Linked DNA regions of Rattus norvegicus. The protein of the gene in region 1 binds, or shares a complex with, the protein of each later gene. Links are inferred from orthologs where the notes say so. Each region holds a gene or a part of one and is shown on either strand. Other genes may lie near its edges. The genes, in order: Fbxl17, Bach1, Skp1 and Keap1.

The links.
Region 2: the proteins of Fbxl17 (region 1) and Bach1 are in contact, whole or in part, in a cryo-EM structure (PDB 8UAH), measured with the Homo sapiens proteins. The link is inferred for Rattus norvegicus from reciprocal best matches to the Homo sapiens genes FBXL17 and BACH1. Residues at the interface, in NP_001156787.2 of Homo sapiens: Asp395, Arg421, Asn447, Gln473, Gln498, Glu499, Met524, Arg548, Cys574, Leu575, Tyr598, Val600, Ser601, Asp623, Trp626, Met651, Arg652, Val676, Gln678, Asp679, Cys680, Arg682, Thr683, Glu685, Gln689, Trp692; in NP_001177.1 of Homo sapiens: Val20, Leu21, Ser23, Leu24, Gln27, Val32, Leu33, Asp35, Phe39, His48, Arg49, Ser50, Val51, Ala53, Ala54, Cys55, Ser56, Ser57, His60, Ser61, Arg62, Val64, Asn72, Thr74, Pro76, His116, Asn117.
Region 3: the proteins of Fbxl17 (region 1) and Skp1 are in contact, whole or in part, in a crystal structure (PDB 6W66), measured with the Homo sapiens proteins. The link is inferred for Rattus norvegicus from reciprocal best matches to the Homo sapiens genes FBXL17 and SKP1. Residues at the interface, in NP_001156787.2 of Homo sapiens: Pro319, Asp320, Ile321, Asn322, Leu324, Pro325, Ile328, Lys331, Ile332, Phe333, Ser334, Asn335, Leu336, Leu338, Asp339, Glu340, Cys342, Leu343, Ser344, Ser346, Leu347, Val348, Cys349, Lys350, Trp352, Arg353, Gln364, Arg370, Gln371, Val373; in NP_733779.1 of Homo sapiens: Lys78, Glu79, Lys80, Arg81, Gln97, Gly98, Phe101, Ile104, Leu105, Asn108, Leu116, Asp117, Cys120, Lys121, Val123, Ala124, Ile127, Lys128, Gly129, Lys130, Thr131, Pro132, Ile135, Arg136, Phe139, Asn140, Ile141, Lys142, Asn143, Asp144.
Region 4: the proteins of Fbxl17 (region 1) and Keap1 are in contact, whole or in part, in a crystal structure (PDB 6W66), measured with the Homo sapiens proteins. The link is inferred for Rattus norvegicus from reciprocal best matches to the Homo sapiens genes FBXL17 and KEAP1. Residues at the interface, in NP_001156787.2 of Homo sapiens: Asp395, Arg397, Arg421, Lys423, Asn447, Gln473, Tyr475, Met524, Arg548, Asn572, Cys574, Leu575, Trp577, Glu596, Tyr598, Val600, Ser601, Asp623, Trp626, Lys628, Tyr647, Met651, Arg652, Val676, Leu677, Asp679, Cys680, Thr683, Leu684, Arg686; in NP_036421.2 of Homo sapiens: His59, Thr60, Ala63, Ile66, Met67, Glu69, Leu70, Gln75, Leu76, Gln82, Lys84, Ala90, His96, Val98, Ala101, Ser102, Ser103, Ser104, Pro105, Val106, Lys108, Ala109, Met110, Thr112, Asn113, Gly114, Val122, Ser124, Glu126, Gln163.

What each region holds. Positions count from the first base shown.
Region 1 is NC_086027.1:110,243,596-110,250,196, forward strand, and holds part of Fbxl17 (F-box/LRR-repeat protein 17), read right to left. Parts: intron 2,285-6,601; coding exon 2,142-2,284; intron 1-2,141. UniProt on the Homo sapiens protein: Substrate-recognition component of the SCF(FBXL17) E3 ubiquitin ligase complex, a key component of a quality control pathway required to ensure functional dimerization of BTB domain-containing proteins (dimerization quality control, DQC).
Region 2 is NC_086029.1:40,423,058-40,430,395, reverse strand, and holds the start of Bach1 (transcription regulator protein BACH1), read right to left. Parts: upstream 4,676-7,338; 5' UTR 4,589-4,675; intron 3,577-4,588; exon of another isoform or gene 3,281-3,576; intron 1-3,280. UniProt on the Homo sapiens protein: Transcriptional regulator that acts as a repressor or activator, depending on the context. Binds to NF-E2 DNA binding sites. Plays important roles in coordinating transcription activation and repression by MAFK.
Region 3 is NC_086028.1:36,900,228-36,907,628, reverse strand, and holds the start of Skp1 (S-phase kinase-associated protein 1), read right to left. Parts: upstream 4,722-7,401; 5' UTR 4,639-4,721; intron 4,601-4,638; exon of another isoform or gene 4,160-4,600; coding exon of another isoform or gene 4,154-4,159; intron 1-4,153. UniProt on the Homo sapiens protein: Essential component of the SCF (SKP1-CUL1-F-box protein) ubiquitin ligase complex, which mediates the ubiquitination of proteins involved in cell cycle progression, signal transduction and transcription.
Region 4 is NC_086026.1:28,049,158-28,056,327, forward strand, and holds the start of Keap1 (kelch-like ECH-associated protein 1), read right to left. Parts: upstream 4,886-7,170; 5' UTR 4,610-4,885; intron 4,469-4,609; exon of another isoform or gene 4,329-4,468; intron 3,291-4,328; 5' UTR 3,244-3,290; coding exon 2,605-3,243; intron 1-2,604. UniProt on the Homo sapiens protein: Substrate-specific adapter of a BCR (BTB-CUL3-RBX1) E3 ubiquitin ligase complex that regulates the response to oxidative stress by targeting NFE2L2/NRF2 for ubiquitination.

The DNA.
Region 1 (6,601 bases):
TGATCGGTGATTTCAGGTCAACTCTAATTCCCAAGGTCAGGCAGGCCTTTGAGCAGTCTCTAAGAGTATGAACTCACCCCAGTTCATCAAAGCGGTCTCACACAGTGCTCTCCTCTCCTGGTTTTTACAATGCATTAAAGTTTAGGAGATTATGTGGTGTCAGCTTCAAAACCTTTTAACATGCTTATCCATCCAGCCATCAGAAAGCTGCTCTTACAGAGACTTCTTAATGCACCTCCTAACTTTACAACTTCGTGGGGGAAGGCGGAAGGAGGCCTCCCCAGGACTCAGCAAGGAGGCAGCCAAACACATTTACTGCAAATTTACTTAGACACTGATAATCCAAGTATATGCTTTCTCAGTTGCAGAGAACAGTTTAGTTTTCCTCATCTGGAGGTACAGGGAGGACAGACACAGAGAGATACTGAGCCTTTTTTACAACAAGTAAACACTATTCTGTTGTTATTCTTGTAACCTCTTAGAAGCTAAAGTGAGGGAGAACCTACGAGTTTGGTAAAATACAGCCTCCAAATTAAATATAAGCAGCCCCAAATGAAACTTCAATGTGAAAGGAAACACAACTGGATTCTACCACTCCTTTCTTTCCTTGAAACAGTCTCACGATTCAGCCCTGGATGACCTGGAACTCACGGTCTCTGCTTCTGTCTCCCCAGTTCTGGGAAATCACTACCATGCCCAGTTGACTTCACAGATTCTAAGGTCCAGAGAACCCAGTACATGACGGGAGAGGCATACAAACTCACTCACAGGTCTCTCCCCAGCTTGGGGATCCTGCTGACCACATTCTGAGGAGGTGGCTAACTGTAGATGATAAAGCCTCCTGGTCCTGGGCTGGCTCCAGACGGGGTGGGCTCTCTAACTGACTGAACCTGGTTAGTAGCTGTCAGAGCTTGCCTACTACTGTTTTGTGTTTCTAGAATACTCTGCCTACTGCAGGCCCTTTAACTGTAAAGTTGACAAGGTTAGCAACAGCATGCTCTTAGCCAGCGATGACTGTGGAGGGAGACTTGTTCCCCTGGGTCTCAGTGCTGTTGCTAAGATACAAAGCAAGCAGCTTTCTGCACCCGGCTGAAAAGATACAGTTTCTAGAATGTAACTGGCAAAGGTCTAGAACAGTTGGAAACAACAATTAGATCTATAGGCAAAAAAGACAAAGTAGGGAGCAGGGAGGGTTTAGGGCCACTGTTACTTTGCCCCATATTTGTCTACATTTAGAAAACACCTGCCCTTTGAGCAACATGGTTTTCTAGTATCAATTCTTGTGATAGATTTGTTCCTTATTGTCTCTGCAGAGGTGGCACAGACAGGTAAACTGGAATACGGGGAGAGCATTGTTTTAGTGCATACCTCGAGGTTCACCATGGCTAAAGGCAGCCTTGGCACTGTGCAAGAAAGGTCGGAATCAGAGTCCAGAGGCTGTGTGTGAGCAGCCTTCTGCAGGTATCTGAGAGTTCTCAACCTCCATTTTCTTGCTTTTACAATGCAAATAAAGTACTCATTCTTTGATTTGTTATGGGGAAATTGCGGAAGTCATGGAGGAGAAACCATCTACCTAGGGTCTGTAAAGATGGTCTCCGTTTCCCTCCTCAGTCTTCAGATGTTGAACCTTCACTCCCAATCCTACAGTCACGTTCAATCCCAGCCAGCTGCCCATGGACCAGTGGCTGGGCCTCTGGGGCCATTTTACACATGACAGGAGAGACAGTGTGATGTGCAGGGAGACATACTCTTGCTTCCAATGGCCAGAAGAAATGGAGGTGGAGAAATGAAATGAACACGTATGAAAAGCCAAACTGATCCTTTACTCTTGCAGGAAGTTTAAAATCTAGAACTCTCTTGTCAGACCATACACATAGCAGTTTGTATGCAGCCTTTCTAAGTCTGCTGTGTGGACATAGGGAAGAGAAGCTCCGCCCCACCACGGCACCATGCGATCATCCTTTTGCTCTTAAGTACGAACACCCATTATTAACCAGAAATACAAAAGTAATTCTGGATTGCTTTAGGAAGCCAGGGAGAACATGCATGGCTAACAGTGTGTATGGGGTGTAGGAAGAGAATGCGGTGTTGCGCTATTTGCTACAGTAACTGGAAGCAGAAACCAAACGAGTCCGTCTTACTTTATCACATCTCATCAGGCCCAAGTATCTCAGGGACTTGCTGCTCTGTGCAATCAGGGTGGCTCCTTGATCTGTGATTTCTTTACACCATCCAACATCCACAGTCTCTATGGTCACGCTGTATCGCCCAATGGCTATCAGTGCTGCAGGAGGAACAGAGAGAGAGAGAGAAAACAAAACAAAACAAAACAAAAACATTGGCGTTAGCAGGGTAAGGGACCTCTAGCTGATCACGGAGCGCATTTCCTGACAGAACTGGTTCCTGAAATGCTGTGTGCAAATGAATGTTTCATAAACTAAATTAAATTGGAAATGCTTTAAGAAGGCTTGCCCTATGACAAACCCTTGTGTGTGGTGAATAATCATTCCGTAATTTCCCTCTCACTGGACTCAGTCTCTCGTAGGTTTATTCACGTCAAGGTCACATATACTTTCAAGCATCCAGATGTGCAGGAGGAATCGATACAAGTGAGTTCGAGATGGGGCACTGTAAAGGCCCAAGTGCTAGCTAAATTTTGTTCAAGGTAACTCTAATAATTCTTCAAAGAAAAAGAATGCCACATAAACACCATTTTGAGGTGTGTTATAATGCATGCAAATTTCTTTATGCATCAGTATAATTTTTCCCATCTGTGTGTGACCTGTAAAATGTAGGAGCATATAATATTTTTCCTATTAGTTCTTCTTGGCTGTTGGGAATTAAGAGTACATTATACATGTAGTTGAACTAAATTGGTGCCAGGCCAAAGAGCAGTAATGGGAATGTATTTGTTATGGTAAATTTCCTTGCCATATCAGAAATCTTCCTTCTATTAATATATAAAATGAGTTTGCCATCTGAAAACCACAACATTATCTCTGGTGTTCTTGAGTCCTTATCACTGTGCCAATACTGAATCGCAGATGCTTAGGCTCTAATCTCAGATGCACTCTAGTTATCCCTGCAAAGTGCCAAACCCCTGCAGGAGCCACCAATCAGCAAACAGGGCTGTTCTTTGGGGACTTCTGTGGTTTAATAGGTGAGTGTGGCTCTAACGTGTACGACACGTAAGAAGCGGCTTTTAATACCTGCCCGGAACATGTTACAAAGCATGAACCTGTGACGGAAACCCTAACAGCGCTAACACACATTAAAAAGGAGAGGAAGTGTGTGCTGGTCCCCTACTCTCATGACATGGTTTCATTTCTGGGACTGTTGAGGAGCGGGTATTGTTTTAAACTGTGCTGGCTTCATTTAGAAAGGCAGAATGTCTTTCTCATGTATATAAATACAACTCAGGAAACATCACTGGGCAAAATCTGATAACCACCTCTGAAATTTATTTTAACTATTATCCCCATGTCCACGGGTTCCCATAGCAAAGCAATCCCAGAAAGTCAGGTTTTTATGGTTTGTAAATCAACAATCACTGTCCCTGTTTTCAATTAAATATGCCACAGAGAATCGTTTAAAGTTCCTTTTTCCACCAGTGTTCATTTAACATCTTCGAATTGGACTGAAAGCATGTTCCAGTAGTAGGATAGACACACTATCCCAGGTTCATCCCACTGTGTCTCTGACTTGAGAAGACTATTACTCTCTGGGGTATTGGCATTGTTTTCAGGGGTTAACAATATCCTCAAGACCTTCTATGATAAAGGAGGCAGGAGGTGCATAGAAGAGTTCCCTTCCAGTCCGAAGTGTTCTGTGGGGCTTACTAGATGAAAATGCACAAGTTACAGGGAGCCTCGAGGTCAGTAGATTGTGAACAGCTGTGTTACCAAGATTTAAGACTGACACAAAAGTCCTGCACTATTCAGGAAGAGGTAAATAAATGACATGAGATGCTTTCCCAGGCTGCCCACTTTAGAGCAAACAAGGAGTCTACAGGAACTGCAGACCTGGTTCTGGAGTGACCTGTGTTTGGAGTCTTCCTTTGCTCTCTTGTCCAAATTATAGTAGATGATGGTGCCTGCAGGTAAGCAGGGCTTGTGGTTTAGTTCTGGCCTCCCTCTGTCTCAGCTTCACAATTCCCAACACAGCTCTTTCCTTCAGTGAACCCCACGAGCGCTAAAGCATTCTCTACGAACAGCCAAGACTGCCCTCCATAAGTCAGGATCTGGACCAAAGCTTTCTGGTTAAGAATCTGATTTAGCCTTCACAGGTACCTTAAAGATCGGGAAATCAAGTCACAGAGAGATTGAATGACTTCCACGTGGTCGCCAAACAGTAAAGATGGGAACAGGATCTTAAGGCGGGAGTGGGTACCCAGTCCTGCCTACTGATCAGATGTGCACACCAGAGAACCACAGGGCGTGGCATCCTAGAGGTGGATCTGTGGTCAGACAACTGAGCCTACGGGTGGGGATGTGACATGCTTGGAGCTCACGGCTGGCAGGTTGGAGGTGAGGGTGAGGCGAGGGGGAGAGAACAGCTCAGTAAACAGTCACAAGACCATGCTTTCTCCACCTCATTCTATTCCCACCTCCTTCTCACTGCCCAGACTTCAGTGAGAGGCCACGTGCTCAGAGTTCATCACCATCAGGGCCACCAGTCTCACCTGGGGATATAGCATTTACTTACTTAATGGCCTACCACTCCCATTAAGGTAAGGATGCCCTTACTGCAGTGAGCCTAGTACACAGCCCATGCCTGGTAGACAGTGGGCCCTCAGACATGCTATAAATGCAAGGGACCATTGCGCCTAGCCCAGTCTGTGGGAAGATGAAGCCTTCACCGAAGAACTAACCTAGAGTTCTCTGAAGAAACAAAGGCTCATTGGCAACTTGGCTGGCTGGAGGGAAACAGCCTATCGAAAGGTGGGGATGAGAAGGGTCAGGGCGTGCAGGTCATTCTATGAGGCTCAAGTATAAATGAGTCAAGAGTCACTGTGGAAACATCCCAGGATTGGCGAGCGATGCTGGGGCAGATGCAGCATGCAGAGCAGAGTCCTCAGCACCATCATGCTACAGTCTAGAAGACACAGTTACAGGACACGGAGTAAATCCAATTCTGAACTGTCATGGGTATTCTCAAAAGGCAGACTGACAGCTATGGGAAATAATGGGTCTAGGTCTGTGTGTGCCTGGGGTACGGGCTGGCCTTAGGATATTCTTGGTCAAATTCTCCTTAATCCACTGCAGGGAAAGAGAACTCAGGCTAAGTAGCTCACAGAGGCTGGCTCTAACAAAGGGGTGCAACCTAGGGAAGGAATGCGTCTGCTCTCTTCACTGCTCTCTCAAGACCTAATATTACAGCTTATGGATGGCCAAGTATTTAGTCTGTGCTGATAGCATTGACTTAATGGGAATTTTTGATTACAAAATATATATAAAATAATCTCTCTCTCTTGAAATATATGGTGCCTCTGGCAACTTCTTCATTTGTGGTTCATGAGCTAGCTGTGACACTGTAATACAATAGAACTTCGGGTTCAGCTCTAGCCACTCCATTTAGTAGATGCCTGACCTCAGGGTGATATTTAACTTGTGTGAGACACCACTTCTTCATCCAGATAATAGGGATATTGACTGGATGTCTCACCCACTTCACAGGTTCAAATGAGATAATGCATGTAAGGGACATTTTGTTACATAAATGTCATAGTTGGTTTGCCGTTTCTGCAAACCACGCTAGTGAGCGGTTGGTACAAAATGAAAAGGCCTGGCTGGAGCCTGGTGCATTGTCTGCAATACAAGCTTCTTGAGAGGCTGCAACAGGGGCAGCATACGCTCACATTAGCCTGGCCACAGGGCTGGCTCAAGGCTGGCCTGGACAGCTTTGGGAGAGTCCATCTGACAAGTGAAAAGGTTACGGCTAGAGCTCAGTGGTGACGGACCTGCCTGGTGCGGACTCTGGGCTCCGTACCCAGTGCCACAAAATGAAAAAGCTTCACAGTGCCAGAGGAGGAAAGGCTCTGGGGGCCTGAGAGTGTTGTGTAAGTGCTCTGGAGCCTGTCGCTGCTGAAGCCCTTGAACTGCCCACTCTACTGGAGATCACGATTTGTAAAGTGCACCTGTGCTTGTAGGCGTGTACACATGTATGTACACAGGTACATCAGAGGCTGGTGACACACTGCTCCAGTAGTTGCATGGACGCTAACTCCTAATTCCAAGGCAATTTCAACACACTTGTTCATGTGCTAAATGCAACTAAATGTTCAAAAAAAAAAAACCCACACAAATTAATAAGAGTTGCTCAGTAATTTTATGCTGATCAAGACTAAACATGAACCTACTGCCAGCCCTTTCCAGAGACATACAGACAGGAGCCAGAATGACTGCCAGACTCAAGTATATAGGCACTTAATTTTGACCAAGAAATTCCGCTTCTAGGGTTCTACTTTGAACATACTCCCATATAAAATACATAATAGGCTGAATGATATAAAAGTATGTGTGAGTTTATTTATTGGAGCACCGATTATAAGTGAAAATCAGAAAAAAGCCTGAATGCTCACACAGTGGAAGTCGAGTGAACA
Region 2 (7,338 bases), on another chromosome or scaffold:
TCTACATCAATCACAGGTAAATAAATAAATAAATAAATAAATAAATAAATAAATAAATCTTGAGATCAGTTTCTTCTCAATCTCAAGAGAAGGTTTAAAAATGAGTTAATTCCAGCCACTTCCTCAATAATCACGGAGTATGAAAACAGAAACTCAAAACCTCTAAGTGTGTCAACTCAGTATACAGTCAAGAAGGACACATAGCACCATCCCCAGTAAACTGCTAAAAGCAACAGAATTTCAGAGCCCAGAGGACCAGAACTAGCCCACACTGGATCGCTGTGCAATCAGTAAACAGGTTAGTAAGCAAACACAGCCAGGGCACACTGAGCTATTGGGAGGAGGGAGGGGGCAGACATATCTTCGCCAGCAGGAACTCACTCACGAAGGATTGAACAGAGAGGATCCAAGTGTTTGATGTGCATTTGGAACCATCACAGCTGCAACTGCACCTGCAACTGCACCTGCAACACACCCCTGTCTTTGGGTCCCTATCCCAGGTAGCTTCTCTACAGGGTTGTCATGGAAAGGAAACCCAGGGTGAACAGGCTGCATCTGGAGGGTAAATGTGTGCTATCCATGCTCCCCATAAACTGGACAGAGTCCAGAAAGTAGAATGGAGAGCCCAGTCCCATTCTAGCACTAATAAGCCAGGAGGGGAGTGGCCAGATTTAGTGGCTGCTAAATGCAATGGTGAGGGCATCCTCAATAGGATTCGAGCAGGATCCAGACAGAAAATTCAGTGTTCTTTACTTCTTCAAAAAGCAATTACATTTTACTAGCAGGGCAGAATGGGGTGCTCCACAGTGTTGCCAAGCCTGAGAACCCATGAGCACCAACCTGAAACTTTCTAGTCCCAACACCTGCCCTACGGCAAGTGTTCAGCGATGGTGGCCGCTAGCTCAGCTCCCAGAAGGACCTAACGAAACCAAGTAAGAAAGCATTCAACCTGCCTCTCTCTGGACACCAGAAAATAGCACCTAACAAATTATGTCCTGACCACTTGATTCATGGTATCACACTTCATCCTCACAGCAATCTATGATAGAGACCATGATCACCATCAATCATCATTATCACCACCACCACCACCATCATTCCCATTTTTCAGAAACAGAAAGGCACAGGACAGCTGACCCCAAGTAAGACGACGATGCTGACACTGACGGATCTTTAGCAATTTAGTTCTGTATTTCCCATCCAGAACATATGGCTTCTCTAGAGACTGTACAGGGACCCCAACTTTAGATGTCAATGCCATGCACTGCTAAGCCAGGAGCCAGGGATTGACAGAGATGTAAACTGGTATTTTACCTGCAGTTCTGAAATGCTTCTCTCGGCAAAAGGTCAGGCCTTAGCAAACAGAGCTCACATTCCCAATGTGTCGGGCATCACTTGAGTCCGGTACTTGGCATTTTTATTTTTTTTTTAACTCAAAAGAATCTCATAAACCGTCCATCCCACCCCCTGAGATAATCCCTTCATTTTGCAGGCTTGAGAGACTCAGGGTTGAGGGTTCGAACAATCGCCCCACCAAAAGAAAGGTAGAAACCGTGAAGGGAGGTGACTGTTAAAACCGTCAGCCAGGGACAGAGCAAGCTGCTGCGCTGTGAAGAGTCTTCTGACACTTGGTCATTTCAACAAGCTTTGTGGCTGCTCTGGTGAGAGTCACTTCCATAGGCCCTGAGGTGGAACCCAATGGTAAATAGTAGCCATGCCTCCTGGGCCAGTGAGACAGGTCAGTGGGTGAGGGTGTCAGCTGCCAGGCCTCAGGCCGCAGTTCAGTGCCCAGACCCACGTGTGGTAGAGAAAGAGAACCTATTCCCACAGGATGTCCTCAAACCTACACACACACACACACACACACACACACACACACACACACAGAGAGAGAGAGACAGACAGACAGAGAGACAGAGAGACAGAGACAGAGAATTAAGACAAATATGTAAATAAAAAATTAGTGACTACCCCAAGAGGTTGGCAGTCTAAGAAACTCCACTTCCTAAGGATTACCTAAATGCACAGTTTTAAGAATAATCAAAAGAATATAAAAAGAGGGGGAATCCACAGGCCTCCAAAGCGTAAGAGAATTTTTACCTTAAAATTTAAAGTTTTTGTTATAAATATCACATCCCAAATTCTAACCACTACTGTTCAGATCACACACATTCACCAACCGCCCTAGGGGGTTGCCTACAAATCCAAAAAATGTTATCAAAATGTAACTTTTTTTAATCTCTATCACTAACTTTAAGAATGTAGTAAGAAATTTACATCTTCCGGTCTTTACGATACAAAAACTATACATGAAGTGAAAAGTAAGTACTAAGAATATTTTGAAATAACTACAGCTCTCAGGAAGAGATCAGAAAATACAGACACACACACACACACACACACACACACACACAGTGTCTGTTGCAGACTTGGAATAGCGGTAATAGCAGTGGAAAGCAAACTTTATCCCTCAACAGACAAAAGGGATGATGTGCGTATAACCACATTATCTAATATGCAGACATTGATGTCACTCTGCTTCTTTAACTTCTTGCTGTGGGTATTTTCATGTTAGATCAATCACTCTGTATACTCCCTGAAATCTCCTAACATCTTAAAAAGACATGTTGATAATCCCTAAATCTAAAGCAGCACACCAACTGCTTCCCTGCTACAGATGTTTGAAAGGAAAACCGTCAATAATAAAAAATTCAGTATCATCCTTGGGGACCATGCAAAGGTTGAGTGGTTAAAGGCACTCACCACCAAGCTTGATGACCTGAGGTCCATGCCCCAGAACCCACAGGATAAATGGAAAGACCCACAAATGCAAGTGTCAAACAAATAAATAATAAATAAATAAATGTTAAAAAATTTCATAAGAAGCCAGCTCTCCTCCCCTTCAGACACGTTTCCTTTTCAAACTTTACACGGAGGACTGGTGTGAGTGTGTGTTCATTTTTTTTTTCAGGCAAAAAAGAAATCCCACAAGATCCATAAAGTCAAGAGACATACATAGACCCCTCTTCTTGGGCTTGACCCAAGAAGACCTGCTGACTCTATCCTTTCCCACCTTTCTCCCCAAAAACTAGCTATGCGGGAAAACCTAAAAGCCCTAAAAGGAAATCCCCTTTGTGGCCTCATAAAAAAAAAATAACTTTTATAAAGAATAACTATGCATGTATTCACCACTCCGCATCAATGCTAACGGCAAAGCAAGGCCAGCAAGAGAAGGAAATGTTACAATACTGTTTTGTTACAATACTGCTGAATGCCTTACCTCTACCTGAAATCCCTCAGACACCGCTTCCTCCAGCACAAATTGATTCTCCCGCAGTAGGCCACGCGGCTGCTGTTTAAACACCACCTAGATGCTACTTGGCCACGTCCTAAGCATGCTCTCCCACGTCACCTACTGATTACCTGTATCAAAACACACAGCCCGCAGCTGGGCCCCCTCCGGCCTCCCGAAGCAAGCCCTCGTGTGTGCAGCTCACCCTTTTATAGTGGAGGCATGTGATGCGCGTATCTGCACCAGCTGTTCCTAATTACCTCTCAGACTGGGGTGAATGACTCAGCAACACAAACTCTTTTAAAGAGTCACCCTACCTTGTTAGCCAACCAACGTAGTGAACAAAGGGAAGCCACTTGACAGATCCGACGACGGTTAAACAACAAGAGTCGATCACTCCTCCAAAGCTACTCAACTCCAAGATGACTCACCAGGAGCCTTTTTTCCCCTAGACTCCCTTATGAGGTCCAAAGCCAGAAGTGGCAAGCGCCTTCAAGCCCAGCCCAGAGCTTGCACCACTACCACAAGAGCAGGAAGAATAGGCCAACCCATACCTCTTCCCATTTCTCTGTAGCGCTCAAAGGCTCGACCAGTAACAAATCTACGGTGCTCATCCTTTAATCTTTCTGAACTGCCTTCCCTGCAAACACAGTAGTCTGAAAGGAGTGCTCGAATACCTAAACAAAGACCCAGCAGGGGCATCCTCCGAGGCAAGCAGTCACAACACTACAGTTCTCCAAAAAAGAACAGCATCCTGCAAAAACAGTCTTTGTTCTTCCAAGCCTGTCGCAGGAGCTGGATTTTCCCACACACGTTCTTTCAGAATTACTACGTCTGCCTTGACTCAGCGCACGCTGAGCGTAGAGAGCTCACTACATAAAAGCCAGCGGCGCAATTCCACTAAATGACACCAAAGTACCGGAGAAGATCGAGAACGCGTTGGCCCTGGCGCTACCAGACACGAACACAAAGCTGATGTCTATCATCGAGACCCCACTCTGCCTATGCTGTGCGAGTCTAAATTACAAACGTGCGGCGAGCTACAACAAAGGGGAGCGCGGACCGCCGGCTGGTCCCGGAACCCCGGCCGGCTCGGCCTTGCCCCCGCAGCAGGCGGAGCGGGACGCGGCCCGCGGAGCGCGGTGCAGGGCGGCGCCGGCACGGCCGACCCGGAGTGTCCGCGCACCGCGTAAACAGCACGCAGTCCGCCGCCCCTTCTAGGCCCGCGCGGCCGCCCGCCACCAGCCCCGGTGACCCCCGGGAAGGACGGCAGCCCGCACCGTCCGAGCCACTCACCGGAGCCGAGGCGCGGCACGGCCCGACTGCAGGCGGCAAGCGGCGGTCAGGTGACTCACTCCCTCCGCGCGGACGGCCGCCCGTCTCCTCCCCTGCGCTCCGCTCCACTCCGCCACCGCCGCCAGCGCCTCCCGGCGCTAAAGCCCCGCCCCGCCCCAGGCCCCGCCTCCTGGCTGAAGCCCCGCCGAGCTCCAGGCCACGCCCGTGTCTGAGCCACGCCCCGCTCCAGGCCACGCCCTCCGCTGGTAGGATCTCTATTTCGCCTTGGGCGAACTCGGTGTAACGTTGTGGAGCAAAGTACTGTGTGCCCAGGCCTCCAACCGCGTGCCCTACCTCCTCTGCCTTTGGTGGCAAGGTTACACGTCCCGGGAGACCACCTCCTCTAACCTGCTGAAGGTAAAAAAAAGAAAAAAAAAAAGAAAAACCTGACGTCTCCACGACCCCTGAGTTGTTGTTCTCGCCACCCACACACAACAGATTAGGTTAGGGTCTTCTGCCCCACAACCTCCAGAAACCTCGGAAGTTCGGTTCAGCTAAGCTCCTGTGCTGCTTTCCTGTAGGAGCGTGAGAACCAAGTGTTTGAACTTGCCGAAAAGGGTGTGTCAACATCTGTCTGAAGCTAGGCAGGACTTTTAGGAGCAGATTCTGAGAGGAGAAGGCTGTTGCCCTTCTAAATGATCACTAACTCCCCTTCAAGTTGTTTGTGTCCGATGAGGCCCTTCCTCGAAAACCACAAGGCATGTATGTAACCTGGACTGTGCTTTGCTCATTATAACCCTTTAATATGCATGCTTCCCTGATCAAATCCTTTCGCTGCTTGTACTCAGCCCGACACTGCTTTGAGAGTAATTCCTGTGCCCTTCACAGTTGCCTGAATAATCTGCACTCTTATTTACTAGCTGTATTCACCAACAAGCAAACACATTGTACCGGCCTTTACATCCGGAATAATGTACTAAGCATCTGGTAGCCTACTTCTGTCCTTCTATGCTGTACCACCAGGAACCATGAACGCCGGTTCAATGTCCTGTTGATGTCAGCCATCGTTCCTCAAGTCCTGCCCCTGCTTTTATCCTCAGCTACTTATTTGAATGCTTGTCCAATTGTTCGTTTTTATTTTTTTTATTATGTTCACGGTTCAAGGCAGTGTCTTTCTGCAAGGCTGCATGCACTCTCCACAAGGCTTATCAGTCTGGAGAAGGGGTGTGCTGGGCTGACTGACCTGATTAGAAATGAGGAAGGAATTACCACCCCAGAGGCCTGTAGCCCCTGAGACGTGTAGCCCTGGTAGGATTTCTGGAAAGAAATCGTGTTGCTGGCTTTGAGTTCTAGTGGAAAGATGCAGAAAAATGGGTAGCCCCAAAATGCAATGTACTCCTTAAACACACATGACAGGCCAGGGGCTCCAGGCAAGGGGTTGCTACCCAGTAGTAATATCATTGACATGACTACATCTGTTCAGTGCATAAACTGTTGTGACTTAAGAACACTCAATTACCTCCAAAACAGGTGAGAATCGGGCCTAAGTGTCGTGGGTGGCCGTGTGAGTGACAACCCAAAGGCTTCCTGAGGAAGCAGAGCTAAAACCAGGGCTTGGCTGAGAGGAGTGTGATCCAACAGGCCGTGAGGGGATCCAGACATGGGGGCAGGTGGCTTCCGGATCCTGAAATCATTATGTAGGTAATCAGCGAGAAATGAGGGGTGTGGGTTGATGAGGGCTCTGACAGACATTCGAGAGTTCTGAGGCATCATCCACTCTACTTCCGTTCCGAGACAAAGTATAATCTGCCTGCTTTCCACACCTCTCCAGTACATTATTTGGAAAAATTACTTTATATAATTACTTTACTTAAGCATGTTTATCTTGACTTGTCCTCTAAGAACACGTATTTTAGCATGGGCTGCCCACCCCAACTATTTGACAAAATGGGAAGAAAAACGGCAAAACAGACTGTCTTAGTCCGGGCTTCTATTGCCACAATAAAACACCATGAATAAGAAGCAAGTTGGGGAGGAAAGAGTTTATTCAGCTCACACTTCCACCTTGCTGTTCATCAGCAAAGGAAGTCAGGACAGGAACTCACACAGGGCAGGAACTTGGACGCAGGAACTGATGCAGAAGCCATGGAGGGATGCTGCTTACTGGATTGCTTCCCCTGGCTTGCTCAGCCTGCCTTCTTATAGAACCCAGGACTACCCGCCCAGGGCACACAGTAGGCTGGGCCCTCCCCACTTGATCACTAATTGAGAAAATGTGCCTTACAGCTGGATCTCATGGAGGCATTTCCTCAAGGGAGGCTCCTTTCTCTGTGATAACTCTAGCATGTGTCAAGTTGACACAGGAAACCAGCCAGTACAGAGACCAAAGAGTACAAACATTGTATCCATGAGAGGAGCTAGAAAGTGAGCTGTTTCCAATAGAGATCCCATGCTATTCAAAGATCTACAGGGGAAAAGAGAAGTCAAGAGTTCAGCCGTGGGAGTCACAATCATAGGGAGAAGGCTCAACTGGGAACTCCTGCTCACTGCTCCAAATTCCTTAGTCAGGTTCTACTTGATGAGATCAGAGCCATATTTGATTATGCCACATCTGAAACGTTGCTTGTCCTTTTACCTGGGAGCCTCACTTGAGGGTACACTCTGCCTGGGACCCTTGACGGGGAATTCCAGAGATCTGTCTTGAAGATCCTTCCCAGCCTATTTCTACTGGATGTGCTAAGTAGTCAATTTTATGATCTACCCCTTTTCTA
Region 3 (7,401 bases), on another chromosome or scaffold:
TCGGTGCTCTTAACTGCTGAGCCATCTCTCCAGCCCCCTATATATGGTTTTTTGAGACAGGGTTTCTTTGTGTTAACAGTCGGCTGTCCTGGAACTCTGTAGACCAGGCTGGCCTCAAACTCAGAGATTTGTCTGCATCTGCCTCACAAGTGCTAGGATTAGAGGTGTGCACCACCAACTACTGGCTCTGCTTTTATTTAAAGAGAGAGAAAGAAAGGGGGGAGAGGGAGAAATTCAAGGGAAAGGGAGAGAGGGTCGAGGAAAAGAGAAGAGTGAGAGGGAGAGAGGGAGGGAGGATTATTTCCCAGCCTTTAAGGTCTACTTAAAGGCAGTACTGAATTTACAACTGGTTTTAAGAGCTGTGTTTTTGACATTTACTTTTAGAATGTGTGGGTGTGCATATACCTCAGCACACATGTGGAGGTCAGAGAACGAGCTGCAGGAGGATGGATCTCTCTTTCCCCTGTGTGGGTTCTAGGGATCAAGCTTAGGTCATCAGGTTTGATAGCCAACCATTTGCTAGTCCTTTAAAAATGTTAAGATACATTGTTGGGGTGACTTTTGTACGTTTGAAGGTTGTCTTTTATACTATTCAGATGTTAATTCTGTACTGACTGAGAGCCGAAAAAGGCTGGGATTTGGGTATTGTTAATCTTATGGTTCCTCACCTTTCTTGCTGGATGTTAAGAGCTGATCCACCAATAGCTAGGCAGAAAAGAGAGGGCGGGACTTCTGGGCTCAGAGAGGGTCTCTAGGAGAAGAAATCCATGGGGACAGGGAGGCAGTTGGAGTGAGAGAGGGGTTAATGGGGGTTATTTAAGTTGGATGAGCAAGCGAGGAGGTAGCCTAAGCTATAATAAAATTATTAAGTCTCTGTGTCACTGTTCATCTGCTGGCAGGTCCAAGAAATCCAGATATTATACATGCTTTCCATATTCCTTTATGCTCTCATGGAGTAATAACTACTCAATCTGAAAAATTAATTGCCACAATTAATTATTAACAAACCGAGCAAAGTCAGTCTAAAATAAATAAAGCTATCAAATAAAAGTAAATATCCTACAATGAAATCTATCAGTAAAAAGCAAGTAAACTACTCCAAAGAGTAGACTAGGATATGCTCACTTCTAAACAAGTGCAAGACCACATACAAGAAAATAAAGGTCATACAGGCAGCTGTCAGTAAGATCCCTAAAACCCGTAAGGAGCTTAAATTTAGAGTCTTTTTTTTTTTTCTGTTTTGGTTTTTCAAGGTTTCCTTGTGTATCTCTGACTGTCCTAGAATTCACTCTGTAGACCAGGCTGGCCTCAACTCACAGAGAGATCTGCCTGCCTCTGCCTCCCAGTGCTGGGGTTAGGGTAAAGGTGTGAACCCAGCTCCTTTTAAATTTTTTTATTACCTATTGTTCAGATGTCCAAGTTTGAAATCGTCTGGCTAAGTACCTACCAAATTAAAAAAAAAGACCTGCTTCAGCCAGGCAGTGGCGAAGCATGCCTTTTAATCTGGGCACTTGGGAGACAGAGGCGGATCTAGAGTTCAAGACCAGCCTGGTCTACAGAGAAAGTCCCAGGGGAGCCAAAAGCTGCACAGAGAAACTCAAAACAAACAAACAAAGCTGGAGAGATGGCTGAGTGGTTAAAAGAGCACTGACTGCTCTTCCAGAGGTCCTGAGTTCAAATCCCAGCCACCACACGGTGGCTCACAACCATCTGTAATGAGATCTGATGCTCTCTTTCTGGTGTGTCTGAAGACAGCTACAATGTACTTACATGTAATAAATAGGGCAGCCAGGACTACACCTAAAGACCTTGTCTCAAAAAAGCAAACAAAACAACAAAATACATTTAAGTCATAGTGGCAGGTACTATAAACCCAGTACTTGAGATGCAGGAATTCAGACATTGGGCACACAGCCAAGTTCAAGTCCAGTCTGGGTTACATAAGAATCTGTCTCAAACAAATATAAATTTAAAATAGCATGGTAATACTGTATGCCTTTAATTCCAGCACGTGGGAGTCAAGGTACAGGTGCATCTTTGTGAGTTCAAGGCCAGTGTACACAGTGAGTTCCAGAACTGTCAGGGATATACAGAGGAACCAGTCCTGTGAAGTCCAGTTTTTGGAAAGATGAGGATCATAATTTCAAGGACTGACTAGGTTACATAATGAGGTCAAGCCAGCCTTGGTGGAACTCATTAAGAGCCTGCTTAAAATGAAATATAAAAGAGGCTGGGGATACAGCTCCTGAGTGTAATGCCTAACATGTATAAAGCTCTAGTTCAATCTGCAATATTGCCCTCTCCCTCTGCCCAAAAGGTGAGACAGAGTATAAGTATTTCCACAATCCCAGCATTTTGGCAAACAGAAGCATTAGGAGTTCATGGCCATCTTCTTGATACATACAAAATAAATTTAAGGCTAGCCTAGTTTTCTTGCCCCTGTCTCAAAAACTGATCTCAACAACCCCCCCATCCAAAAATGCATCAACTGAGATAAAATATAAGTCATTAGGAAAAATATAATTTCATATATTAAAAAAATTAAGCAACTAGCTCCTAACATGACTTGAGTTTTAGGAAAAACCAAAACCAAACAAAAGCAAACCAGTATTAATACTAAAAGCTCTAAACCAGCAATTTATCATCTTCAGATTTCCCCCTCATTACTCCAAAAGAGTAATTCAAGACCTCTTTAAAATTTCATGGGGTTGGGGATTTAGCTCAGTGGTAGAGCGCTTGCCTAGCAACCGCAAGGCCCTGGGTTCGGTCCCCAGCTCCAAAAAAAAAAAAGAAAAAAAAAATTTCATAAGCAACTTTTTTTAGTAGTTTGTTTTTGAGACAGGGTTCCTCTGTGTTGCCCTAGCTGTCCTGCAACTTGCTCTGTAGCAAGGACTGGTTTTGAACTCAGCCATCAACCTGCCTCTGCCTCCAGTGCTGGGATTAAAGGTGGGCACCTGGGGTTGGGGATTTAGCTCAGCGGTAGAGCGCTTGCCTATCGAGTGCAAGGCCCTGGGTTCGGTCCCCAGCTCCGAAAAAAAGAAAAAAGAAAAAAGAAAAAAAAAAGGTGGGCACCAAAATCCCCAACTCACATGTAACTCTGCAGGTCTTATGCTTCTGAGGAATACCTGGGTGTTATAGGGTTAGCACTTAAAATAACTATTGTACCTATTTAAGGGTCAAACACTTAAGACTCGGCGTATCTCCTAAAATATTCATTCAGCTTTCTGAGACACTTGTCCCCATTCCTCAAGTAAACAATAATTGGGGGGGGGGGGGGGATAAAGCTTGTTTCACAATCATCCATGGTTGAAAAGACTCAAGAGTTCACTTTTCAACTCACAAATATGCTGCAGAACAGAGAAGCCCAGAGCAGCAGACCCTCCTTATAAGGCAACAATAAAAGTTAAAGAGACCAGCTTTTAATAGCAAAACACTATGTTCTCTTTATGGTCCCCAGCACTGTAATGATCACTCAGGAACAAGTCTATGTGGCTAATAAAGTTATTTTAAAAGACAATTCCATATTTCCTTGAAATAATTCACAATAAAGACATGCTTAGTCATAGTCAAATTTAGGTATCAGGTTACTTGCAAGAGAGCCAGGGAGGCAATCAGTTAATCTGTAATTCAATGCACTCTGTAATCCTAGACTTCACTTTTGTTGTGGTGGAATTAAGTGCAAAATTTTTAAGTAATAATGTATGAGATTTCGATTTGATATGCTTTCAAAAAACCCTTCTTTAGTTCTCTAAGCTCCTGGACTTGGAAACTAAACCACCATCCAAGTCTAGCATGAGAATTCTAGTACACTTAAAACAGACTTTAAAAACAAACCTGTTTTAAGTGACTCGAAATTCTGCCACTTGTTACTGGACTGCAGGGCAGAAGGGAGTGCATTGTTCTTTGCCACAACACAGTCTACTGTAACATTCTGATGAAAAACTGAGTCTCCAAACCTGAGGACTCCATGAAAAAGTGAGCCAAGAGGCATGTTTTAACACTATCCCTTAAAAACCCAACACCTTGGGTTTTAGCGTCAAGGGCTCCTAAAAGTCACACACCTCAGACGACAAGGTCTATTACAATAAGTTCAGAGACTGCAGGACGTGACAAAAAAAAAAAAAAAAGCGAAGAAATATCGGGAACCTGTTACCTGCATATTCGGTGGTTAAATAGGTAAGACCAGTAAGGAGCAAATGTCGCCAGATACAGGAGGAAGGGAGAGAGCTAAGTATCGAGTGGCAACGACCGCCACCACCCGGAAGGCCCGGGACCCCTACTCAAAGCCTTGCGGCCAACCCGCCCTGGAGCGCGGAGCAACAAGCCTGTCGCTAAGGCAGGCCCGGGACGAAGCCTAGGCCTTGCAGCCGCGTTCGGGGCCGACTGACGTCGCCCGCAAAAGAGCAGGCCTGCCACAGAGCTGGATACAGCAGCGAGCGAGCGCCGAAAGGATGGGCGGCCCTAGAAGGCCTGACTCGGCCGCCTCGCGCCTCCCGCGGTCCGGGGTCGGCAACGGGCCGCACAGCGCCTCAGGACACGCCAGGCCGACTCGCCGCCTCGTGCACGCCACAGCCAACCCGGGGCTCCCACCCAGCCCCTCCCTCCAGGACCTGGTCCGGCTCGCGGGCTGCTACTCACCGTGCTCGGTCTCAAGACCGCAGGCCTGAGGCTGCCGAACAGAGTTCACAACCGAATAGAAGTCTCGAGAACAAGGCCACTACAGCAGCGCCGCGCGGCGTCAGCTTTTATAGGAGCGGGAAGAGGGCACCGAGGACCCCGAGTTCGTGACGTCACACAGCCGGCCGGGCTGGCCGTTGAGAGTGCCTGACGGCATGCGGAAGGCGGGTGGCAGGTTCTGGGCGCCGCAGAGGTCTCCTGGAGAGGTGCTGAGCGGCGATGGGTGGAAGGGTGGCTGAGCAGGAGGGGGACTTCCACTTTACTCCGCCGTCCTGAACAACGCCGTGCTCTCCTTCCGTGCGGACGCCGGCACCGGCTGGGGAACCATCGCGACCCGAAGGGTCTTTCAGGCAGAGGCTGTCTTAAACTGCTTGAAAGACCCCAGTCCTGAAAAGCCTGGAAAGAACAAACCGCAAAACCGGTTGTGGGTGGGTGTGCTTTAAAGGAGTCACCTCAGCCTGACCACTGTTACTCTCCTAATAACCCAAGGAAATAAGGGTTTTTGGTTTGTTTGGTTTTTTTTTTTTTTTTCCGACCTGGAATTAAGGACTTGAACCTTACTCCACTGATAACTGAGCTTTAAAAAATTACGGATGTTGAGTCAAGGTGTCTCTAAATACTCCTGACTTGGTGCACCTGCTTAGTTTTTATTTTCTTTGCATTTTAAGACGGGGTCTCGTTTGGCACAGAGTGACTGCAAATTCATTGCGTAGACCAGGTTGGTCTAAAACTCGTGAGATTACCGGCTTTTTTTTTTCACCACATATACTCGCCTTATACTCTTTTTGTTTTGTTTTGTTTTGTTTTGAAACAGGGTCTTACTAGATAAACCAGGTTTGGAACTCGCTATTTAGACCAGGCTGGCTTTAAATTCAGATCTGTGTTTCCAATAGCTCAGCGCTGGGAGGCAGGCACCACCTTGTTGGATAATCTTAACCTTTATTTCCTACCTTTGAACTTTGAAGAGGCTTTCACACCCCAAATAGCCATTGTTGGAGTGAAGCGCCAAGCCTGGAGAGAGAAAACAGGGATGTGGAATGGAGGGTATATTCTTCGGGTAATCATGCTCTCTGCCTGTGTGTGAGGCCTGTGAGGCCCGCGCTGGGAATCCATCCAGTAGTGAACCAGGACAGTCAGCCCAACCTGAACAGACTATGCTGTATGGGCAGCTCACAGAAGGCTGTGATAAGGTCGCTAGAATGAAACAACTTTGAAGTAAAGGGAGAGGTCTGAAAGGACCCATCTGGCCTCAGCCCAGCCAGGAACTGGGCACTTGCCTGCCCTGCCCCGCTGTGTCTAGGGAGCATCACTATCCCCACCAAGGCGCCAGGCTCACCTAGCCAATGAGCACATGATGGTATTCCTGGCACCACAAAGACAAAAGACGTTTCCACACAGGGCCTCCTAAAGAAACCAGAGCCTACAGTTTCTCCAGGACAAGTCTGGGCAGAGAGGCCAAGCAATGGCTTGAATGACCAGGTCTTTGTCTGATGGCTGTGGTATCCAATGTCTGCCAGGTGCCACAGCTGATGACAGAAGATGAAAGGCCCACAGTTCTCAGGCTCTTTATCTGCAGCACTGCCTGCCCTTCGCAGCTCCTACTTAGGGCCTGCCAGGAAAGGCCCACTTGGAGAGCCTTTTCCTCTCACATGGCATAAACTTGGTGGGCTCCTTAAACAGTCCTGGGTCATACAGCTAGTCTAAGAAGCCAGTACACTGCCTGTCACAAGATAGGTGTATGTTTCTCCAGAGGGATGAAAGCCTCGGTACAGGAATTAACCAATGCTTGGAGGAGAAAATGGAGGTTTTAGTGCTGGGACAAAGCTTAGCATGCCCAGGACCCTGGGTTCAATCCTTGCGGTGCCCAGACTATTTAAGGTACAAATTAGTTCACAAAAGATGCACAAGAAATTGTTTGCCTCAAAGAAATGGAGCTAGCAGGTGGGGCAAATGTTGGGTGATTTGTATATTTTCCTGCCATTTGCCTATGGGTTCATAGGCATGTTTTACATAGTAATTTTTTTCCCTGAAGTGAGTTAGGCACAGCACTACAACTTTTTTTTGCAAGTCTGTTTTCTGGTTCTGGGGATGTGGTTCAATTGGTGGTGTGCCTGCCTTGCATGTGTGAGGCCATGGGTTTGGTTCCCAACACCCCCATAAACTGTACAAGTCTGTAACCTCAGGAGACAAAAACGGGAGACTCAGAAGTTCATGACCATCCTCTGCACTTAGTGAGTTCAAGAATAGTCTGGTCTACATAATTTTGGATCAGCTGAGGCTATAGAGTAAGAACCTAAATCAAAAAAGAATGTTTAAGTGAATAATGCACTTATAATTGGCCCCACTCAAGGAAAGGCAGCTGGGTCAGTTTCCAGTGTAATGAATCTAACGTGGGGCAGGCTTTTCTGCCTTTTTTTTCTTTTTTTTTGGAGCTGGGGACCAAACCCAGGGTTCTCTGCCCTTTAAACCATCCAAGGTGATTTTTTTTTTTTGTTCTTTTTTTTCGGAGCTGGGAACCGAACCCAGGGTTTTCTGCCTTTTAAACCATCCAAGGTGATTTTTTTCTTGTTGTTGTTCTTTTTTTTTCCCCGGAGCTGGGGACTGAACCCAGGGCCTTGCGCTTCCTAGGCAAGGGCTCTACCACTGAGCTAAATCCCCAACCCCCATCCAAGGTGATTCTTAAGCTTAGGGTAAGTGGAGAAACCTCTGTAATAGGGCCTCAGT
Region 4 (7,170 bases), on another chromosome or scaffold:
AGGCCAGATTGGTCTACATAAGCCAGTTCTAGATCAGGTAGGACAACATAATAAGATCCTGTCTCAAAATAAACAAATAATTGAACCTAGTCTGGCTTTAATCCCAGCATTGGACTAATGGCCACTTGGAAGGGAGAGGCAGGAGATGTCTGTGAGCTCCAGGCCACTTGTTCTACATAGTAAGACCCTCTCTTAAAAAAGGACTTTAAATTACATTTAATTACATTTAAATTACATTTATTGGTTTATTGGGTATGTATGGGAGGTGTGCGACAGCTCATGTCTGACGGGTAGGATCTCGCCTTCCACCTTGTGGTCCCTGGGATTGGTCTTCTGGCTTGGCAGTGAGTGCCCTCACCAGCTCCCAAAGGCACTGGGTTTGTTTGTTTCCTTGTTTTGTTTGTTTAACCCCCTCAGGAATCATATGCTGGAAGGAATCAACTTGTGCAAGTAGTATTCTGACCTCCGCATGAACTGTGGCACATACATTGCCCCCGAAATAAACACAATCAAAATTTTAGATTAATAAAATAAAATATAAAATGATAGGGAGCCTTACGGCTTGGCAGAGATGAGGAGACAACTCGGGAATGAGAGTATGGTATAAACTTCAAGTGAGCCACCAAGGTCCGTGTCGATTCTCGGCACCAGGGAACCTGACACACAAGAATCTTGGGTTTCAGACAAAAGCCTGGGCTATGACAACCTGCTGTCTCAAAAATCTAAATGAATAAACAAAATACATTCATGCTGATTCATACTGACCTTACACAGCCTGAAGGCTGTGCGTGTGTGTGTGTATCTGACCTGGAACTTGTTACGCGGAGCAGACTGGCCTCCAACTCACAGCTCTGCCTGCCTTTGCCTACCCAGTGCTGGGACTAACGGTGTGCGTAGCCACACTTGGTTTATGTGAGGTGTGGATGGAACCCAGGGCTTCGCACAGGCTGGGGAAGGGTTCTACCAGTCCAGGAGCACATCGGCCCTCCAAAGATTTATGCACTAGGCTTGATGTGCCCGCCACCCATCTTGTGAGGTCAGGTGTGGAACTGTCCACTTGAGAACGACAGATGGTGTTCAAAAGCTTTTGAAGCATTTCAGACTTGGGGTTTGGGTTGGTGATATTCAGAATGCAGTCATGTCCAGGGGACCTTTCTAGTCACTGCCACCCAGAGCCAAGGCTGCTGTTGACTGGCTTTCCCTAAGAACTGCCCTATTACTTTCCCTTGAGGACTTCCTGTATTCAGAAACGAAAATGAAAGCAATACCATGTGAACCCAGGAAAAGCCAAGCAAAGCTGGAGACTGCATGTGTGAGGTTGGTGGGTACCATTGACTGCCTGTTCAATCGCACTCCGAGGGTTTCTCTGTGTAGCCCTGGCTGTCTTGGGACTCCCTCTGTAGATCAGGCTATCCTTGAACTCTTGAACTCAGAGATCTACCTGCCTCTGCCTTCTGAGTGCTGGGATTAAAGGTGTACACCAATATGTTTGCACATATACACCCACACACCCCACTTTTTTTAGACAGGGTCTCACTGTATAGCCCAGGCTGGCCATCACTATTTTTAACACCAAAGAGACCAGGCTGCTGAGGCACTAGGAGGGCATGTCCTCACCTGATGCTCTCTGCATTTGGATTAGGGGCTCAGAAGCTGAGTTTTCAGTCCAGCAATGTGGCTTTGAGGGTAAAGGCATTTTCTGCCAGGCCCTATGATCTGAGTTTAACCTAGAAACATACATAAGGTAGCAAGAGAGAGCCAGTTCCTGCTATTTGTTCTCTGATTTCCACACAAGATCAGTGCATGCATATACACACAAATATATATATATATATATATATATATATATATATATGTATTTTTTTTAGGACTTAAAAAACAAAAACAAAACAAAACAATAGCTTCAATAGCCAGGTGTGGTGGTACACACCTTTAATTACTAAGGCAGGTGGATCTCTCTTAGTTCAAGGCCAGGCCAGTCTACAAATTGAGGTCCAGAACAGACAGGACTGTTACACAGAGAAACTCTGTCTCAAAAAACAAAAGTAAAAGAAAAACAAAAAAAGCCTCAGCTAGAGAAGTCTGCCAAAAAAAATAAAATCTAAGGTGCTGGAGAGATGACTCAGCAGTTGAGCGCACTACTGACTGCTCTTCCTGAGGACCAGAGTTCAAATCCCAGCACCCACGTGGCAGCTCACAACTGTCTGTAACTCCAAGACCTGACCCTTTCACATAGAAAAACATTCAGGCAAAACAATAATGCACACAAAATAAAGGTAAATGAATTTTTAAAAAAAGATTTAAAAACAAAAGTAAAACCAAGTCCTGGGGCTCTGCGTTCCATTCCAGTATCTCTTAAGTATACTGGGAGTCTGTGACTACAGTACTTGGGAGACTGACACAGGAATCAGGAACTTAAAACCATCCTCAGATACACAACCAGATTAGGGCCAGCCTGAGCTACATGAGGCCCTATGGAGAAAAGGAGGAAGAAAAAAAGAAATCTTCCTCCAGCCTTGAATGGCCGCTCCAGTCTCGGAGAGCACTATGCTGGCCCATCCCACTTCTTGTGACAACTGAGCCCAAACCCCAGGTCTTACTCACCTCCCCGAAGTGCATGTAGATATACTCCCGAGCACGCTGGTGCAGTTCCGTGCAGCCGATCTGCTCGGCGAAGTTGGCGATGCCGATGGCGTTGCTGGGGTCCAGCTGCTGCACGAGGAAGTCGCTGCAGGCTCGGACCACGCTGTCAATCTGGTACATGACTGCCCCGTTCATCACATGCAGCACACACTTCTCGCCCACGGAGATGGAGGCCGTGTAGGCGAACTCAATTAGCCTCTCCATGACCTTGGGGTGGATGCCTTCAATGGACACCACCTCCATGCCCTGCTCCCGAAGCCCGTTGGTGAACATAGCTTTAAAGACTGGGCTGGAGGAGGCCAGCACCACTTTGTGGGCCATGAATTGGGCAGCTGGGATGTCCTCATATTTGACCTGCAGGGTCACGTCACAGAGCTGCTGGCTCAGCCGAAGCTCGTTCATGATGCCAAAAGCCTGCTTGGTGTGATCCTCTAGTGTGTAACTGAAGGTTCGGTTACCATCCTGCGAGGGCGTCACCTCCGCCTTGCACTCCGTGGATGCATACATCACCGCGTCCCCTGCCCCCTCCGGGCACTTTGACCACAGGGGCAGGAACTGGCTGCTGCGGGGAGCCCCGCTAGGCTTGGGTTCGGGCTGCATGGGGTTCCTGATGACAAGATACAGTTCCACCACTAGCGATTAGGGGCCTGGAAGGAGGGAAGAGTACAGGGCTGGATTAGGCCAGACCCTGCCACATTTTTTTTTTGTTTGTTTGTTTGTTTCTTGTTTTCTTTTGAGACAGGGTCTTAGCCTAGGCTGGCTTCAAACTCACTATGTAAACAAGGCTGTTTGCTGTTTCCTCCCGTGTACTGGGACTACAGTTTGTGTCACCATATCTAGCCAAGCTTTAATTTTTTTTTTTTTTTTTAGACTAAGCAATGATTTCTAGAGCAGTTTTTGTCAAGCCAAGTGAACTGGACACACCCGGCTCCATTCAAACTGACTTCTTCTCAAATCACCGGCCGTTCCTTTTCCTGCTCAGAATCACCCAATACCTATCCCAGAGCCCAAGAGTGGAAACCCAGCTCCTCAATGGCCTGTAAAACTCCACACCCCCTTCTAGACCTCTTCACTCAGTTCCAGCCATGCTTCCCTTCCCTTCATCCGACATGTCAAATCCCTTTCTTCAACACCTCACCAAAATTTACAGAGCCTGCCATTTATACTTGCAACTGTTCTGAGCTCCAGGGACACAGCAGGAAGACAGAAAAGGCCTGAAAATAAAGCAAGGTCTGTATAGAAAACACTAGGCGAGCACCAAGGCCCTGGGCAGAGTGTGCAGCCTCTGGAACACCCACGGTGAGGGATTCAGGAGACCCTTGGAGACCTGGGGCCAGGACAGGAGTTATGCTTTCAAAGGAGATGTGGGGACACAGAGAGGGCCTGCAGCTGGCTCCCCAGGTTCTGGGGCTCAGCCTGGAGTCGCGTCCCCCAGTGTTATGTCTACTAGGTCACCATGGGGGGGACGACGATGAAATGCTCCAGGGGCCCCAGTAAGTGAGCGACTGTCACGCGTGACCACACTGCCGGAGCTCGGGCCTGGCATTGCGCAGAGGGCTGAGCAGCAGCCACCCGGTACCCGGTGCCTGCTCCAGCGGCCTCCCTAACGCTCGGAGGCGCAGCCCTGACGCCTGGAGAGCCCGCAGGGCCTGGTCCCGGGCCGCGGCCCGGAGCGGCGCACTCACCCCGCCATGGCCGCGCTCTGCCTCCGCCTCCGCCGCGCGGGTCACGGTGACTAAGCACAGCGCACCACCCTGTCACAATAAGAGTCCCGGGGCGCCGGCCGCGGGCGACCCCTACCCTCGACTCGCCTCGGCCACCACCCTACGCGGGTGCACGGGCTGGGCGCGGGTGCGCACTTGGAGGGGTCACGCGCTTCCCCCCACCGCGTGCACGTCCCCACGCGCGACCGCGGGCGGCGCCCGGAGCTGGCTCCCCACCGCATCCTCCGCGGGCGCTCGCTCACCTCCGTCCCACCCCCCCGGGTGTCTCTGTTGGTGCCACGCGTCCAATCCGCACCGCCGGGCCGCCACGCGCCGCGCTTCCGGGAGGAGCCGAGGGCAGCCAGGGGGCCTCGGATCGGGGCAGCGGTGCTGCGGGGTCCCGGGCGGCACGCGTGGGAGGAGCGGGAGGGCGGAAACAGGCGGCGGGCACGCAGAGGCGGTTCCAGCCCTTCCTGCAGGTGCCGGGCGGAGGGAGCAGGGCGTGGGTCAGGGCGGCCCTAGGAGCCTGCCTCCGGGTTAGGCTGTCCAGTACGCCTCTAGCTGAACCTGCCCCAGCGGACCCTCCCACACCCTACCCGGCCCAGCCAGACCTATGTACCTGGTTGAGATACAGATCTTCCTTTAAAATAACTTTTTAATGGTTTCTATTTCAATTCGCATTTTACTTTATGTGTGTGGGTGTTTTGCCTGCGTGTATGTCTGTGCCCCGTGGGCGTGCAGTGCCCCCTAAAGTTACAGGTTATCCACCCTGTGGAGAGGGGGAATTGAACTCTGGTCTTCTGCAAGAGCAACAGGTACTCTTAACTGCTGAGCCAGCACCCCAGCCTTATAACTTCTTTTTTGAGAATGGCCTCATTACATAGCCCTGGCTGGCCTCTGCCTCTCGCTCTGCCTCCTGCGTGCCGGGGTGAGGGGGAGTGGGGGGGTGGGGGTTTAAAGGCTGTGACACCACGCAGGGCTTTGTGTACATTAATTTATTTGTGTGTATGCTTGTGTGTAGAGGTCGGGGGATGACTGGCAGAAACTGATTCTCTTCCCCTATGTGGAGCCTGCAAGGTGCAACAGCAGCCCACTTTCCTCTCTCCTCTCTCTGTAGTCATTTTTTCATGAGGAGAGGTGTGGCATTCATCTGAGGGTGTTGGAGAGTTGGAATGCCCAGAATTGCCTTTCTTTGCATTTCTCATTATATATATATATATATATATATATATATATGATAAGAGATTCTTATTTGCTACAAAGGCATTTATGAGAGAAAATTATTTTCTTGACCTATAAGATTTGGCCAATTCTGGCAACTAAGTTCCATCCCTGTTTCTCACGTGGTAGTAAAAAACTTACTCCTCCAAGTTGTCCTCCAACCTCCACATGCACACATAAATTAATTTTGGAAAATAAAGTTATTATTGGTGCTGGAGAGATGGCTCAGTGATTACAGCACTGACAGCTCTTTCAGAGGACCCAGGTTCAATTCCCGGAACTGGTATTAGGGTCAAAATGAACGCCTATAACTCCAGTTACAGGGGATCCCATACCCTTTTCTGGCTTCCACAAGCACCACAACCATGAAGACAAAACACCCATACACATAAAATAAAGATAAATAAAAAAATTTAATATTATTTGACTGACTGGTGCAGACAAGATGTCATTTTTAGCCCAGGCTAGCTTTGAACTCTGTCTCCTGTCTCCATCTCTCCAATGGGATTACAAATGTGTATTCTGGGTTTTTTCTTTCAATTTATTTTTAATTTCATGTTCATTGCTGTTTTGCCTGCATGTATGTCTGTATAAGGTGCATACTGGATCCCTTGGAACGGGAGTTACAGATGGTTGTGAACTGCCATGTGGGTTCTGGGAATTGAACCCAGGTCCTCTGGGAGAGCAGCCAGTGCTCTTAACTGCTGGGCTATCTCTCCAGCCCCAGTTTTACTCATATATGTTTGAGGCTGGATTTCACTTTGTAGCCCAGACTGGCCTTGAGCACACAGTAATTCTCTTGCCTCAGTCTCCCAAGTGCTGGCATTTTTAATATAGACGCCACACTTTGCTATATAATTTTAAGTAATTATTTTATATATTTATCATCTGAATAAAGGAATGTCCGGTGGAAATGATGTTGATCCGTGTGGGAAGTTCCTGGAGACACCACATGAACTCGACCTTTCCTATGTTCAATAAAACTGCAATTCCAGCCTTCTCCAAAGGTGGCGTCTCACCACACTCAGCTATGATGTAGGTGTTGGGATTCCTGCCCTGGTGCCTAAGACCACAATTTCTGTCTCTCAAAGTCAAGCCTCCAGGCCCCATGAGCTGGCTGTGGAGATTTATCAAGGCTCATTCACACAGGTACAGCCATGATTATATAACAGTTTAACTGTCAAAGGACTCGCCCAACTCCTACATTTTTTTTGTAGGCTTCTGACTCAATAGCTGGTGGTATTGCTGTAGTGTGAAATACTATCCAGCCAGTTAAAAGAAGCAAGATGGAGCTGGACCTGGAGATGAAGGCATGAAAATTTAGCTACTCTGGAAGTAGCTGAAGCAGAAGAATGACTGGTTGGATAACAATGAGACCTTGTGTGTGATGGTTTGTGTGTGTGGTGTGTGTGGTGCCCAAGGAGTGGCACTATCAGGAGGTGTGGCCATGTTGGAGTATGTATGTCTCTCTGGGTGTGGGCTTAAGACCCTCACCCAACTGCCTGGAAGTCAGTCTTCCACTAGCAGCCTTCAGAGAAAGATGTAGAACTCTCAGCTCCTCCTGCACCATGCCTGTCTGGATGCTGCCATGCTCCCGCCTTGA